Linked DNA regions of Schizosaccharomyces pombe. The gene in region 1 interacts genetically with each later gene. Each region holds a gene or a part of one and is shown on either strand. Other genes may lie near its edges.

Region 1 (7,392 bases):
ACCTGCTAACACTCGTGTTATGAATTCCTCTGCAGGAGCAACTGGCCCTTCTCGTCGCCGTCAGGTTTCTTCTGGTAGTTCTACACCTTCAATGACTAAGTCATCAGCAAACAACAATAACGTGTCTTCGACTGCAAATACTGCGGCAGTGTTAAGGGCAAAGCAAGCACAACAACAAATCACTAGTCTTGAAACACAGTTGTACGAAGTTAATGAGACGATGTTTGGTTTGGAGAGAGAACGTGATTTCTATTTTAACAAGCTTCGAGAAATTGAAATACTTGTACAAACTCATTTGACCACTTCTCCTATGTCAATGGAAAATATGTTGGAGCGTATTCAAGCAATACTTTATTCTACTGAGGATGGTTTTGAGTTACCACCTGATCAACCCGCAGATTTAACTACCGCCCTTACGGACCATGATACTAACAACGTCGCTGAAGAGGCTCAAATGACTGACCTAAAAGACTCAGAAACTCAACGCGTTCCCTCTGCACCAGATTTCGTACATGCTAGGCTACAAAGTTTAGAGGTTGATGACGATGAGAATATCACGTTTTAAAAAGTACTAAGTTAAAGTTTTTTTTTGTTGCAAATTCTTCATTTTTCACTGTAACAACGTAAATAAAGGAAACCGAAATATTTATTTTTATAGGGAGTTCTTCTTATTCCTTATTGTTTATTTAACCTGATCGAATGTTGCGTGCCTCATGACCTCCAAATTCATTTAATTTCGTTCTTTTTCCTTAACATATAGCATTCTGTATACTACAAATGCTAATTGTAATAAACTTTAATCCTTAGTGTTTGAGCCGTCTAATTATCCCAAATAGGATATTTTTCTTATTTCTTTAAAAAAGCTTCAAGGATAATTTAAATTTATCCTGCTTCTACGTTTCAGTGATTACGAACCAAACTTTTTTATAATTAAATGTTGAAAAGTATGAATGGATGTTTCAGAATTTTATTCAATGATGCTGAAATATCTACTCGATTTAAAAAAAATTTGCATCCGATTTTAAAATCGCCTTTTTCATATATGAGCAAAATAAAGAGTAAAATATTTACTTTCAATGATCTGATTATGTTAAAACGTTTCAACTGCGTACGTCTCAGCGATGTAGAAGTTTAATTACTTATCCTTATCTTATATATATATATTGTTGACTTTATAAACCGTAGGTGTTTATGCTTGTCATTTTTACTAGCAATAGTAAAGTATGTAAAATTTTGAGGTACCTTTGTTAGTTTATTTTTTTTACTCGAACTATATCAACTTTAAATAGCAAATTTTTAAATCAAGCTTAAAGTTATGCAATTCAGCTACACGTCGTTAATAATAAATAAAACTCTTTCATTCACAATTCTTTAAATTTGCAAAGCAAAAATCTCAATAATGAAATTCAAAGCACCAAGTTTCCCCCCCCCCGCCGGGGGGTTTGATCAATTTGTCTTATCTGATCTGATAACACCAATGTTACGTCTTTCACACAAAGAATTAAATTCGATCCACATTAGTATAATATGCGAAGTATACCACTAGTTTTTATTATAAAACTTCTGTTTTCTATATAGGTTTTTATTCACCTAATTCTCAGGCCGGTATGAGTAAGTAACCATGTGATGTATAATTATGCAATGTTGATAACCGGCAAATTGAGCTTGCAGTCAGCCAACATCACCATCAACGAACTGTATATGGGTACTACTACTTAATCAAACTAAATGCTTCAATTTTCATTTCAAAATTGCAAAACGCATACATGCTATATGAATACCAGCGTGAATGAGCACTTGGATCAAGATGAATCGTTTTTAAGAATACTAATCGATACTCGCAAAAAAATAAGAAGCTCATATTTCAAGCCTCAAACATTTGATGAATTTGTGCATTGTTTAGCAAGAGTAAGAGCCATGAAGCGATTGGTTTCGATCTGTTCTAATTTTGATGAAGAAGACAATTGGAATGGTGTCTGGAATACGTTGGTTGTTGATGGAGATTCGCATGCTTCAGCAATGATTGATTATGAAGGTCTACTTGATAAATGCTCACTAAGTAGAAATCTTCTAGAATTGATTAATGATTATGCCGAGTATACTACCCAAGTCCTGCCTTTCAGAAAAATACCAAGTAGCGATAATCTTGACTCTTCATTAAATTTAACTGTTGCTTCACCTAAGTCAAATTTATATTATAGATACTCATCTGAGAGTCCTAAGTATGCAAAAATTTTGGATTGTCCGGATGAAATTTTACAGCTGATTTTTTCATATTGCTATGATGCTTCATACATAGAGAAGTTACCCTTTGCATTTTCATATAGAAAACAACGACATACCCTTATCCATGACCTCCCCAATACATGTTTACGTTTTAAAAAGATTCTCAGCCCTCGAAATGTTTCATTTTGGAAACGATTACTTAAGGTGCATAAAAAAAATCCAAATTCGGCTGTAACTTGCTCTGAGTCTATAAACACAAGTGCTGTGGCCAAATTTACCGATATCCCTACAATCATTCCAATTTTTCTTGATCCAAGTTATCAAAGTTATGCAGCAAAGACAATTCATTCTGATACTTCTTCGTTAGCCTCCTCGATCATCCAAACAGGAGATGGAACACAGTCATGCGATGAGTCTACATATATAGAGCTAGCATGCAATCTTGTAGGCCGTTGTGTGCTTTGCAATAGAATACCGAAGTTAACTAAGTTTAAAGATTGCATTACCTCATTTTACCGGCCTTCTGTTGCTACCAATATATGTGATCAATGCTTAGAAGCAATCATTGACTTTTATGAACCTGTAAGTAGATACAAATTTGATGTTATGAAAGATCGTTTAGGGGTGGGATATATAAGCAGGCCTGGTCAAAAATTCCCCTCTTGGTTATCGGAGCATGTTCAATTGGCTAGGGATGAAGAGAAAGCGTTCAAGAGTATTTACCATTCTCAAGGTGAATTTGCAAGAAGTTTATTTCGTTTGTTTCGAGCGCAGTTGGCTGAGTTATGTGAACAATAAAATTTTGGATTAATATACTACGATTTTATGTAATAGACAAATTCGATGTCAAATTTGTATGAAAGTAAAATTGAAGTTAATAAATTTTTTTTTGTCTATGACAACTGTTACATTTATCGTTCACCCGTTTTCAATTACAGTTCATTTTTGAAAAGCAGAGTAAGCAATGCAAGGAAAAAATAATATTAATTAGGCAAATGACCCAGAACCCTTTTGTAAATATTGTTATACAGATACCATGAGAGATTAAGAAGTAGAGAAGTTGTTAATAAGTCAGAGCATTAACATTTACTGTACAAACACATAAGGTAAATTAAGTTACTCAAAAAATACGAAAACGCCAAAACCCATTTCGTAAATGAAATTGATAGTGAGTTGTCATATAAAACCAAAAGTTCCATTAAATAATGGCACTAAAAAAAACAAATCATCCAAATGGACCAAGGAATTTCTATCATTTATAGAATTCCCATATTCCAAATTTTTTTATTTCAAGCTCGTGAATTGAAAATAATAGGAAAAAAATGCCACTACAACAGTAAAAATAAACTGAAACAAAAAGGATTTAATCTATCAACATCCATCTTTTAGCGGTGACGAGAAAACAGGAGAGAAATGAGGTGGTGCATCTCAGGCTTCAGTACAAATATCCTTAAGGATCCGAAGCAAAAATGAATTCAGAAGTGTGCGAAAAAATAAGGACGAAGAGAAGGATGTAAAATTATGCTTTCTATATAACTAAATGCGCAGATCGCTCAAGGGATTTGTAAGAATATGACCACTTGCCAAATTTGAATAAATCGGACAAGAAAAAGAAAAAATATCTTCATACCACGACAAAGGGTTATAAATAGCAAGCACTTATGCCTCAATTACAGGAGAGGTGCAATTGACGGCGATGTGGCCTGGTTGATTACACTTGTAACAAAGTTGACCATCTGAAGCTTGTTGACATTCAAAGCTGCGGTGTCCAATCTTACCACAAGAGTAGCATTTCACGCCCATAGTGCAATCACGGGCTTGATGGCCATAAGAGCCACAAGCATAGCAATTCATGTTGGAGCGATGACCACCAAATCGTCCGCCACTTTGTTGACCATTTGTACGACAGTCTCTAGCAATGTGACCAACACGACCACACTTGTAACATTCCGCACCTTGACGGGGGTTAGGGCTGCTGGGGCAATCACGAACGAGATGTCCGGCGGTACCACAAGCATAGCAAGTTTTTTCCTGTTGAGGCTCAGTGCATTCGCTAGCCTTGTGACCGGTCTGATTGCAATTGTAGCAGATTGAACCCTTGGTGCACTCACGAGCTTGATGACCGTTTTCACCACAGTTATAGCATCGAGGACCGGGACGAGTGGTTTGAGGAACGGTGGGAACAGATTCAGACTCCATCTTAACAACTCCTTTACAATTAAAAAAAATTATTAAAGAAAATTAAGAAAAATAAAAAAAAACAGAAAAAATGTACTTTTTCTCGCTAACCTGACTACACTTCCTTAATAAATAGGAGCGTGTGACTGTCTAAATTTTTCTTAAGTAACAAGCACATGGTGGCACTTGGAAGTAACGAATTTGACAAGCGACTATTTTGGTCTTAAAGATGTCAATAAATAAGAATTTAGTTGTTTTAGACCGACGGAAGAAGCACAACAACTTGCCAATTAAAAAGAGTCATGGAATCGAAGAATTGTTACCGCATACTTGCTTTTTTTTGTGATAGAGAGTGTAATATCTTACATAACTAGTAAGCTCACTCTTTCCCATAAACTCAGGACTTTTTGGTTCTGACAATAGCTTTATATCATAGCAATTATTGCCTCCTCATTGTAATGTAGATTGGTATTCCAAGCGAATATAACCAAACGCTTAGTTACTTTGAATCGTGGTAAATAAGCATCGTTATTTTTCATGGCAAAAAATCGTAGAAACATTGCATTCACAGTATAGCGCCTGAAGAATTGAGTTCAGTCATTTGCAATATATATATTACTGGAATCTATAGTTGTACATATTTTAGGTATCCAGAGTACCACGTGCTTGAATTCAAACAAATCAAAATAAATCCAAAAATTGTTTTGGTAAAAAATAATGCTTTGGCCGGGAATCGAACCCGGGTCGAATCGATGGCAACGATTCATTATACCACTAAACCACCAAAGCTTGTTGAGGTTTCGATAAAAAAAGATTTAATTATATTACGCGACGATATATCAACATAATAATTTTAAATAGATAATTAGGATCTTGGAAATCTTTTTATATTTTTCCTAGACTTTATGAATATAACAAATACGAAATAGAAGGTGAATGGAATAGAAAAAAAGTAATCATTCGACTAAGGAGCAAAGAACTGCTGATTACTTCTTTATTTGAATTTAGCAACCAAGAATTTATTAATGCATGTCGGATTATTAATTTAATTCATGCAGTAAGTGTTTTGCCAAACTATTAATTGCTTATTTTTTTCTCTTTGGAATTCGTTTTGGTAAATAGAAAAGCAAGTAACTTAGTCGCATTTAAATTATTAAATTCAAATCAAATTTTGTACGTTAATTACTATTCCTATTTGTGGCTTAATAAATTTTGTATAATTCCTACATATTTTTTACAATTTATCATTATTATTGGGACACGTTTATTCAAACACTGTTTTTTAGATAATTCATTTCATACTCAAGCACAGATTTATATTAAAAGTTTAACATATACAGAAATGCATGATTATTCCAAATTATTCTAAAAAAAAATATTTTTTTTTTGAAATTTATTCATTTTACAAAATGTTTTTGCTTGACATACTTCATCGATTTCCAATACTTATGCAACCTTTGAACCGTCATTTCACTAACCTACGTGAATAAACTATTAACAAAAATTAGATTAACATTTTAATTTCCAACCCATTCACAGATGTATAGTATCATTTAACAGAAAACCACTTCAATCGATATCAAATTATCACTATTGTCATACTAAGAAACCGTCAATTTTTTTTTTGAAAACAAGTACATTTGACCGCTTTTCGCCCTTGGGAATGACTAGTTCATCGCTTCATTTTATAATTAAACGCAGTAAATTAATAATCGAGACATAAAACACAGAAATTCTTCTACCAGTTAGATTAAAAAAAAAAATCTGTAAAATCATTTTCCGAACGAAAATAGTTTAAACTATGTAATTAAGGTAAAATAGAAATATTCCAACTTTTTGAGAACAAGTTCAAGAAAGATGAAAAATCTGTTCTATCAAGGTGATATGACGATCAATTTTCATTCCAAAACTTAGTTTTTTTCAGCAATTACCCACCAGTTATCACGGTCGTAGCCATGTTCCAATATTGAGCCGCCTGCGGTCTCTACTAACTCATTTAATTCACCCTTGCGAAATAAATGGTAGTAACGTTGATACGCAATATTTTCAGCAGGATCGTGCCCCTTTAATTCCTCCGGCTTTGCATTTGGATACTCATATTGCCTTTTTAATATCCAAGGAACATAAACGTCCTGCGGTCCGTCTTCTGAAAAACCACGCCTTGAATTCTTTTGTTCTAAAGCCCAAACAAAAAATAGTGCTTTCCCTCCTTTTACTAATGGTCTTAAAACTTCCTGAACAGCTTGCAACCTTCGGTTTTCATTGCTGAAATGATGGATTACAGCTATGCTTAAGGCAAAATCAAACCGATTGCTTGGATGAGGTACGTGCAGGCCATCAGAAATAACCATAGGACCTAGATTGCTTGCTATTTTAACAAGTTTTACGCAACGATCGCTTCCTATCATGTAAACATTTGGGTTAACCTTTTGGTATTTGCCATTTCCGCACCCAATGTCTACTCCTACAGAGCCCAAAGGCAAAGATTTTAAAAATTTTTCAACCACTGGCCATGGCTACAAAATGACTGATTAGCTTTAATTAAATATCGTTGTATTAACTTACCTTGTATCGAGTATCTGAGAAATGTGTTGCAATCTTATCATATACTTGATGAACATATTCATTTTCGTACTCTATTTCCATTTTAATATAAATAAGTAAAAATTTGTAGCCTTTGAAGCCGATTAAAATACGTCTCGAAGGTTGGGTAAGGTTAGCAAATGGTAAAACTAAAACGATGGGTTATAGGGATGTTAATTTCGAAATTAGAGATTGAAAATAATTTCCATTCCTTTGTTTATTGCCATGGTTCAAAATTAAGGATTTCATTATTCTTTATCATTTAAAGCAACAACTAAAACAAATTACAGCTACCAGTAACACAAAAAAAACGGTGATGGTACTAAAAGTATCCCGTTACTTTATTTTGCAATGCGCAAACTGAGATAAAGCCTTTTCTATGAATTTGAATTTTAATAATGATTA
Region 2 (5,205 bases), on another chromosome or scaffold:
ATTTATCACCATGTACGACGTGCATATAACCCGTTTGAAGATCGCTGTGTGTGGAGCAAAGAAGAAGATGAAGAATTAAGAAAGTATGTGTTTATATTTTTATTCAAAAATCATTAACGTTTAGAAATGTTGTTGAACATGGTAAATGCTGGACGAAAATTGGTCGTAAAATGGCTCGAATGCCTAATGATTGTCGTGATCGTTGGCGCGACGTAGTACGTTTTGGCGATAAATTGAAACGAAATGCTTGGTCGTTGGAAGAGGAAACTCAGTTATTGCAAATAGTTGCTGAACTCCGTAACCGTGAAGACTTAAGTTCTGACATTAATTGGACGCTTGTTGCCCAAATGTTAGGTACTAGGACTCGTTTACAGTGTCGTTATAAATTTCAGCAATTGACGAAGGCTGCTTCAAAATTTGAACTTCAAGAAAACGTTTGGCTCTTAGAAAGGTAAGTATTGACCTACATAATTTCTCTTGCTTGCTAATATTTTAATTTAAGGATTTACGACTCGTTATTGAACAATGGTGGTAAAATTCATTGGGAAAATATCGTAAAAGAAGCTAATGGACGATGGACACGCGATCAGATGTTGTTTCAATTTATAAATTTGAAAAAAATGATACCAAGTTACGACAATCTTCCTCTTCTAGAAGCCACGAAGTCAGCCATTGATGACTTTAAAGTGGTACTTTCTGGATTCTCCAATTGACGTCCTTACAATTTTTTGAACGAAAAAATTTGTTTTAACTTACTTAAGTAACTTTGTATCTTTTTACAAGTCCTTATTAAAATGACTTAATTCTTAACGCAACACCTTCATACTGAGGATATGTAAAGTCGCCTTACTACTACCGCTCTTTGCATTTCTAGTTATTGGCGAATAGTTTTTGGAAGAATTCATAATTTCCTTAGCAATAGAGGATTTTTTGTAAATTAATAATTAAAATTGAATTGTTTGCTAATTCCGTATGAATAAATTCCAACTACCAAAAACTTTAAAGTCTTTATGGCATCACCCACATAATGGAGAGTTAATAAGCATAAACGGCTGGGTACGATCTATCCGAAAACTAAAAAATGTTTGTTTTGCCATGGTTTCTGATGGTACATGTCAACAAGCCCTTCAAGTGGTGACTTCGCCTGAACAGAGTAAGAAGTATGGTTGAGGAGGAGACATAAAATCTAAATTATATGATATCTTTTTCCTACTAACATTAATTTATTATCAAGGCTATCATATGGTGCTAGTGTGAATATTGAAGGCCAGTTGGCAGTTTCTAAAAACGCAAAACTTGGATTGCAGCAGTATGAACTGTTGGCTGAGAAAATAAAAATTTACGGCCAGATAAATGATGATGTATGTGCTTTCAAAATTGAATATACTGCAAGTCTATCGCCATAGAATTAAATTCTAATCCGGAATATAGAACTACCCTATTCAGAAAAAACATTTGACTACTGAAATGTTACGACAAATACCCCATCTTCGATTACGAACAGCAAAACAAGGGGAGATTTTTCGTCTCCGTTCAGATTCATTAAAAGCATTGCGACAATTTTTTTCAAGCAAAGATTTTACAGAGACCAACCCCCCGATAATAACTTCTTCTGATTGTGAAGGAGCTGGTGAAGTATTTACCTTGACCCCCCAGGAGACGCATAAAAATAAAAGTTTTGAAAGAGATGATCAAAAGCATTTTTTTGACCGACCTGCATTTTTAACTGTATCCACTCAATTGCATCTAGAGGCTCTAGCATTAGGACTGTCCAGAGTGTATACTATATCGCCAGCATTTAGAGCAGAACAAAGTCATACTAGTCGACATTTGGCAGAATTTTGGATGCTGGAAGCAGAAGTTGCGTTCATGACTTCGCTTTCACAACTAACATCACTTATGGAGGATATGATTAAATATACTCTTAATTCATTGATGGAGCAGAACTATCACAGAGATCATTGGGACCAACTGCTTAAACCGTGGAAATGCATGACATATTCTGAAGCAATAGAAGAATTAAGCGCTGTGAAAAAAACATGGAAATACCCTCCTAAATGGGGAAACGATTTAAGTAGTGAACATGAAAAATATCTTTGTGAAATCTTACATAAAACTCCGGTATTCGTGACGGACTATCCACAAAAAATTAAACCGTTTTATATGAAATCCTCTGGGCCCGATACAGTTGCTGCTGTTGATTTACTCGTTCCACAGGTGGGTGAACTTGCTGGAGGTTCTTTACGTAAAGACCATTTAGATGAGTATAAAACTTACCCACCAGAACTTCAATGGTATTTAGACCTAATGAAGTACAGCAATGCGCCACACGGAGGGTTTGGCTTAGGGATAGAACGACTGATTGCTTTTCTAGAAGGAGAAAACACGAACGTAAAAGAAACTATACCCTTCCCCCGTTCAGTAGGATCCATTTTTGCATGATTTATGAAAGATCTTCTATCTTACCTTTGGCGTAAAGATAGGTTGTACATCGAACTAATGAATTATAAGCCGTTTTGTCCCCGGTTCTCAACAGCTTGGCGGCATCTACATTTAATGGAGAACTAGCATCGTAATTACTTAAAAGAGAGATAATTGCTAAACAAGCAGATTGTAGACTCCAGGCCGGCGACCAATGTGTCTTTAATATGTCCATACATACTTCGCCGTTCTACCATTGACGTTAGCTAATGAATGTAATCTAAAAAACTCTATTTAAATTGGCTTACCGTCCATGAAATATTCGGATGTACAATTTTTGTTTGAAAATACACAGACGGGGGACTAATAGGATACCCTTCGTGAACATGAATATCGAGAACCCATTGCCCCCCTTCATACGGTGTTTCAGTAGGTCCTTCAATGACTGCCTTCCAATGGAACATATCAACATCAGTGACCGGTTTTAAAAGTAAGAGACCAGATATATCTCCAGCCTGGAAACTGGCATATTCTTTGTGAAGTCGTTTAATTGAACTATTCATTTGTCAAGATTCATAACACTCGTTTCTATTTTAGGTTCTAGCATGCATCAACTCTAGATAGCAAAGCTTGTCAATCTAAGAAGATTTAAATTTTCAAGGATTACCGGTTTCGCAGGTGTTGCTGGAAGCAAACAAAACCAGGTGTACTCACTAAGTTGTGTAAAAAGAAGTTAATACATAAATGCACTCAAAGCGATCCTTAATTAGCCTTATTCAACGGAAGGTAACCGAAATTTGATTAAGGCTCAGTGGCATAGTAAAGAAATGTTAGTGTTTTATTTGAAATTCGTCTTTAGTTCGTTACAACACGGTAAGCATCAATATTTGATTTAAAGAAATAAAAGTCAGATTGCATTACAGGTAATACAAGTTTTGGAGCTGATTATTAAAAATAAACGATGAAGTAAACAACATCTTATTCCTAACTTTCGTATTTTATTTGACTTTGCAGAATTTTCATTTCTAGATAATCATATAGAATTGCAGACATGAAATCACTCAGTTACATACCAAGGCTCGCAAGCGCATATTACTCGGATTCAATGACAAAGTTTATTCATTAAAAGAATGCGTAAATAATTTCGAATAACAAGATTTATAATATTTAACGTACAGAATCTACCAATACAAAGTAAACACACCAATATCATGATAGTATTAACTTAACGCTAAATCGAAAGGGATTTTAAGGAGAAACAGAAGCCAACTCATGAACATAAGTACAGAAAAGTTTTATGCCCTTAAGGAAGTTATCAAGGTCTAATTTCTCATTGATACTGTGGGCACCGTCATCACCACGGCCCATAGGCAACAACAAAACATTTTTCTTCAAAGATTGCTCAAAAGTAACAGTTACTGGAATAGAACCGCCTTCACGAACGAAATCTGGGGTTATACCGTAAACACGCTCAGTGGCTTTTTTACCGACATCATAATGCCAGTGGTCAGGAGAAGAAATCCACCAACTTCCAGAGTGCATGTTGTTAAAAGCGAGCTTGTTTTTCGAGTTCAAAGAGTTGAAAACCTTTGTTACATGTTCTTTAACAAGTCGTTCAACAGTTTCTGACTCCATATTGGGGACGGTGCGAATGGAAAATTTACCAATAACTTTCGCGGGAATAACCGTTTTAGCACCACTGCCACTAAAGGCACCTTCAATACCATGAAGTGAAAGTGTAGGATATCTCCAGCGATGTTGAAGTGTTCTCTTGGGATCGGGATAAATAGAAATATCAGCACCGACCGCCTCTTTCAAATCTTCCATTGTATAATCAATTCCATCATAAATACTATCCTCGGTAGGTGTGAGTTCTGCTACTTGGTCCATGATACCAGGAATCAAAATTTCACCATTGGGTTTAACTAAAGTACTCATGATAGCAACTAAGTCCGTCATAGGCTCATGCACAGTACCGCCAAAAACGCCAGAGTGCAGATCAGCAGATGGTCCTTCGACAGTAATATTAAAGTAACAAACACCACGGAGGCCGTAAGTTAAAACTGGCTTTTTGGTACCCAACCAATAAGTATCGCTGATGCAAACACAATCTGCTTTAGCAAAGTACTTTTCAGCTTCTGCACGAATTAAATCTTCTAAACCTTCACTGCCGTATTCCTCCATTCCTTCAAAACACATGAGTAAGTTTACTGGAAAATCAATACCAAGTTCTTTGTGAGCTTCAATGGCCGAAATCCATCCAATGAGCGGTCCTTTATCATCAGTAGCACCGCGACCAAACATGCGTCCTTTATTGTCAACTGTCAACGTGAAAGGGTCAGTACTCCATCCATCTTCTAATGAAGCCGGCTGAACATCAAAGTGATTATAAATTAAAACAGTCTTTTTAGAAGGGTCATTTCCGTATTGACCGAGAACAATAGGTGGCAGAGGAACGTCTTGTCCATCCATTTGATGATAACCAATATCACGCTTCTCCATCTTGGCTCCCAACTTTGTGAACTCACTAACCACAAAGTCAGCCATCTCTACAACTTTGGGACGAAGCGTTACATCGGCAGAGACAGAAGGTATAGAAACTGCCCGTGAAAGCCTAGTAACAAACTCATCCTTCTTCTTATCTATACTATAAAGTGTTAGGCATGTCGCTTTCTGAAATCTGCAATAAAATAAAGAAATAAGACTTGCCTCTGGCAATTCTGAACAACTGTCTACTTTTCTTTAATTTCTTCAAGAAAGATCCTTACTTACACTTCGTATAAC
Region 3 (4,777 bases), on another chromosome or scaffold:
CTATTGAAAATGCTCTTAAGGGTGGTTATGTCATGTTGGAGAACAAGGAGGCCGATATTACTCTTGTCGGTACTGGTTCTGAAGTCTCTCTTTGCATTGACACTGTCAAGACCCTTGAGACCGAGTACAACTTGAAGGCTCGTGTCGTTTCATTGCCTTGCTGGGAAGTTTTCGAACAACAACCAGAAAGCTACCGTCTTTCTGTCATTCCTGACGGTATTCCTGCTATGTCCGTCGAGGTTTGGGCTACCAATGGTTGGAGACGTTACGTTCACGAGGCCTTTGGTATGCACACTTTTGGTGACTCTGGCCCTGCTCCCAAATTATACGAGAAATTCCATTTCACCACCTCTGGTGTTGCTCAACGTGCCAAAAAGACTGTTGATGCTTACAAGGATATCCCTTATATTCGTTCCCCTGTCCGCCGTGCTTTCTAATTTAGTAGCATTTTTTCTCTAGATTCTTTTAGGATTGATTTGCTGGCTTAGAATTCAATTCGTGCGGAAGGAAGTAGTTATGAGTGAATTGTGTTTTGTCTTTATTTGAATGTAAGTCTATAAATGTGAGCAAAATATGAATGCATAAATATATATATTTTTGTATATATGATATTCGACGATATAGTTGGAATTGTGAGTAGAGTATTACAATAATTTTGCATCTACTTTAGTCAATGTAAGTGCAGTTTACTGGCGTTTATAGTTGATGTATTACAAACTATTTTTATTCATATTTAAAATTAGAAGTAAAAAGTTGATATTTATTTAATAACTTTATTCAAACATTCACAGACGTACATAACTTTAGAGTACTTAATAATCAACACTGTTTTTCTAATCAAAGATAAACCTAGTAAAGGTATGGTAAGGAAAGGGGGTAACATTCAATTATATAAGGGTTGCTACTAAATCATGCCTAGCAGATTGCATTATTTTACGCAAGAAAGATGATTGAATCTTTAATTAACAGGAAAGTGAGGAGGAATCAAACCTCTGCTGCCATACCACTTACCATTGCGGACGGCGAAATTCCAGTAAACAAAAGGAAAGAAGTCCTTCTTAAGGTGATAAAACATGCGACGAGGTACAGTTTGGTCAAGGAAACGAGAAAAGCGACCGAAAGATTCTTTAGGTTCTTGTTTGTACAAGAATTCGGCCAAGATAAGCTTACCATAGCCAGTGAGTAGCGGGCATGAAGTGTAACCATTGTATGATGCAGTTAAATTCTTTCCATTAACGAAACTCCAAAGATTGTGGACCATAACAGGAGCTTGTGCAGTAATGGCAGCGTAAGTCTTACTAGTTGGCAAACCACTGCAATCACCGATAGCGAAAACATTGGGGAACTTGGTCGATTGTGTAGTAGATTGATCAACAGCAACAAAACCAGATTTATCAGCCAAATCACTCTTTGCGATAAACTCATGAGAACGCATAGAGGGGACGGCATGCAAAAGATCAAAAGGACGCTCGAAGAGAGAGCCATCGTTTAAATTCTTAAATACGGCTTTACGTTCAGATCCCTTAACTTCAACAAGCTCATCTTTATAATTAATCTTGACATTGCGATGTAATTGCTCATTTTGGCGAAGAAGGGCATCAGAATAGCGCTTAACCGAGAAAAGAGTAGGCATACCAGTGTAGAAGGATACATCAATATTGGAACGAACTTTATGACGACGCCAATAATCTTCAGCCATCCACATAATCTTTTGTGGAGCGCCGGCACACTTCAAGACACCGCTGGGTTGAGTAAAAATGGCATTTCCAGACTTGGTTTTTTCAATCCAAGGATAAACAGCGTCAGCATATTTTTCTGAATAGATAGTAACTACAGGGGTGTTGGGGTCATCCAAAGCCTCAGTTAAACCCTTGATTCTGCCAAAGTCAGTATAAATACCAGCTGCCATAACCAAATAATCATAGCTAATTTCTTGACCACTTTGAGTAACTATTTTGTTTTCACGAGGATGTAAGGATTTAACAAATTCAGGATGGAGTTTAAATTTGTCAGCAGGAACCAGGCTAGCCAATTCTCGTCTGGTCTTAGCAACAGAACTCAATCCAGCACCAGTCAAAGTCCAACCAGGTTGGTAATAATGATACTTGGCACCATCCACAATACCAATTTCACCGGGTTTGAGGGATGTATCTTTGCCTTGGTCATTGGCAAAGCGGTATTTAGAAAACTTGTTGTAAATTTGATGGGCGACGGATATACCAGCGGATCCACCACCAACTACTAAAACCTTGTGATGGGTAGAGGCGAATCGAGCCAACATGGAAGCGGACTGAAATGAGCCGGTGACCGACTTGATTGTTGAGTTTAAGGTCAACATTTTTAGTTGCAAAAATGCAAAAGAGAAGTGTTTTTTTAAAGGTAAAGGAAAAAAAAAGGAGGCAAAAAGTAGCCTAATAAAACACAAGAAAACAGAGGTTGAGCGGAAAAAACGCGTTTAAAATTTCAAGAATTTAACACCTCAATAAGTAAATCAGGAGAAAAGGAATTTTTAAAAAAAAAATTTTTGATTACAATATCAAAGAATGTAGTCAAACAAGCACCACCTTTCAAGTGTACTAGAATAAGTGCTAGTCTGTTTTGACTCAAGCGAAGTAAAAGAAAAAAAAAAATTTTTTATTTCTTTTATATGCACTCTTCAATGTACTTTAATTGTTCAAGAAACAAGCACAATTTAGTCTACCGGCTGTCGTCTAAAAAGAATGGTGTAGTGTACAAAATAGAATTAACGGAAGACAAGCCTATGTAGAAAATATTTGCAAATACAGTCGACTAATCAGAATTAGCAGCATAAGGTGTTTATATTCAGTCGATAACTCACGTCAGCTCCGAAGGCGTAATCGGTTACGCAATTTTGTCAAGTGCTTGCGCTTTGCTTGTGATTCCGAAATATGTGGCATAACTTTATTCATTTTAGGGGCAAATCACGTGGATTTGCTAAGTTTCATTAAAGTTTGTAAAGCAAAAGCTATCGAGGCTTAAGGAACTCATAAAAGCTGCTTAATGCATGTTTCCGTAAATTAATAATAGTACTAGAAGTAAGAAAGTGAATGATTTTGTGGGTATGTGTATTTTTAATTTTGCAAAAATATTCGTTTATCCCTAAAGTAGTACAGTAGCCGAAAGAATCCTTTATAACGTCCATGCATTTGTGCACAAATACAACAAAATTAGAAGTTTGTCAAATTGCTGTTGGTCATTTTCAAATAGCAAATAGCAAGGCGCTGAAATGTTAAGGTTGCTATTTTCTGACATATAACGAAAATCGGCTGTACTAAAGAGTAACGTGGGTTGGCGATGGACATTCTTTGCTGAAGAAGCAAACATTGTTCATAAAAAGTAGACTGATATTCTATTATGCTATAAAATGAATCGGCTCTTTTGTGTAATTAATTAAATTTTCCATATTCGGTAATACTACTAAACATTAGTATACACAATACCAAAATCAATCAAATCATACATAGCATGGATCGTTTGTTTAACATTGAAAAATTCCTTTACGCAGTGCGGAATCTTCAGTTGTTAGATTGAATATAAAGTTTTAGAACATATGACTCTTTTAACCAGATTAAATTTAAGCTTGACATGAAAGTACCTTTATTAAAGTAGCCCCCTGTTAGCAAATACCATGATCATCCAAGAAGGTAAATTTTGAAGAACGCCGTTTTCATAACCATTATGTGTTGCTGTGCAAAGATGTAAACAAACTGATTTTTCGATACAATAATATACCTTTAAATAGAGAAAAGCTAAAAAAAAAAAAAAAAAAAGAAGTAGTTGATTTATAAATAACCCTTTTTCACTAAAAGCAACCTTTAAGTAGGACATGTCTAAAAACAACACAGGTATCTCCAACGAAATAATAAAACCCCAAAAGGTTTGTGCAAAAACCTTCGGCAATGAAATTTATAAGACGGGATGAATGTACAGAATAGAATTGCAACCATTTTCTAGACCACGTGATTTTTGGGAAATTTTGGTGATGCATTAGATGAAGAAAAATAGAACATGAATGAAAGTCTACTTATACAATTTGGAGTAAATGATTAATTGATGCTTTTAAATTTTGTTTGACTTTGATTCGAATCCAATAGCTCATTTCCACCAAGCAGGAATGCCCAGTCCATCACGAGAACAGGAAGCCTAAATATATAGTTAGTAAATTCTATCGATTTGAGAGAAGCAGAAAATATTTTCTTGTATACTAGCAAATAGATGGTGCACCCTTCATAAATAATGACACAAGTTTCGCCCTAAACATAAAAAAAAAAACTTACAATCAATGTATATGGGGATACCGATTCCAATGCTTCTGTGCCTGTAATCGCGGTTGCATTTTTATTCCTCTTAGGTGAAATATCAACAAAGTCCTCAGATTCTATTTGAAAGCGTATTTCTTCATCAATGTCAAAATACAATTCGGTTCCCTCTGAGCCGTCCTCCCCTTCAATTTTCCATACCCAGGCACGCTCATCCGGACGAAAGACACATGGATCGAAAAGCATATCTTTCGGAATGAAAATATCGTCAAAAAAGCTAATAGTTACTGGGAGAAAAACATTAACAACAAGCATTTAAACAAACACATTTAACATACCCCGAATACCTTCTTCACTGCACGATTTTATTTTTCCCAGCATTACTTCACCTCGAAAAGGACGAAAGATTATAAGGCGGAAAACCACTAATCTAATTAGAACCATTTAAGTTTTTCTTTTCCACTGAATCACTATCCTGACAGCCTTTCGTATTGATA

What was found. Genes that interact genetically often act in the same process or in processes that back each other up.
Region 2: mutations in pof14 (region 1) and ubc16 together harm fitness more than expected from each alone (negative genetic interaction), as found in Schizosaccharomyces pombe (one large-scale study listed by BioGRID).
Region 3: mutations in pof14 (region 1) and hmt2 together harm fitness more than expected from each alone (negative genetic interaction), as found in Schizosaccharomyces pombe (one large-scale study listed by BioGRID).

Annotation. Positions count from the first base shown.
Region 1 is NC_003424.3:2,244,058-2,251,449, forward strand, and holds pof14 (F-box protein Pof14), read left to right. Parts: upstream 1-1,677; 5' UTR 1,678-1,728; coding exon 1,729-3,024; 3' UTR 3,025-3,071; downstream 3,072-7,392. Other genes in the region: microtubule plus-end binding protein, EB1 family Mal3, read left to right, coding at 1-565; byr3 (translational activator, zf-CCHC type zinc finger protein), read right to left, coding at 3,886-4,425; tRNA (uridine) methyltransferase trm9, read right to left, coding at 6,315-6,920, 6,970-7,050. UniProt on the Schizosaccharomyces pombe protein: Expression is induced during oxidative stress. Plays an essential, SCF-independent, role in the stress response to hydrogen peroxide for survival, by negatively regulating ergosterol synthesis via direct binding to the squalene synthase erg9.
Region 2 is NC_003423.3:187,444-192,648, reverse strand, and holds ubc16 (ubiquitin conjugating enzyme Ubc16), read right to left. Parts: upstream 3,243-5,205; 5' UTR 2,985-3,242; coding exon 2,730-2,984; exon of another isoform or gene 2,672-2,729; coding exon 2,444-2,671; 3' UTR 2,443-2,443; coding exon of another isoform or gene 1,432-2,442; 3' UTR 1,362-1,431; coding exon of another isoform or gene 1,235-1,361; 3' UTR 1,161-1,234; coding exon of another isoform or gene 973-1,160; 3' UTR 863-972; downstream 1-862. Other genes in the region: RNA polymerase I transcription termination factor/ RNA polymerase II transcription factor Reb1, read left to right, coding at 1-83, 125-451, 503-713; asparagine--tRNA (Asn) ligase Slm5, read left to right, coding at 973-1,160, 1,235-1,361, 1,432-2,442; dipeptidase Dug1, read right to left, coding at 3,670-5,068, 5,194-5,205. UniProt on the Schizosaccharomyces pombe protein: Catalyzes the covalent attachment of ubiquitin to other proteins.
Region 3 is NC_003423.3:2,588,142-2,592,918, forward strand, and holds hmt2 (sulfide-quinone oxidoreductase), read right to left. Parts: upstream 2,793-4,777; 5' UTR 2,339-2,792; coding exon 959-2,338; 3' UTR 863-958; downstream 1-862. Other genes in the region: tkt1 (transketolase), read left to right, coding at 1-437; DNA-directed RNA polymerase III complex subunit Rpc25, read right to left, coding at 4,117-4,164, 4,299-4,567, 4,619-4,705. UniProt on the Schizosaccharomyces pombe protein: Catalyzes the oxidation of hydrogen sulfide, with the help of a quinone.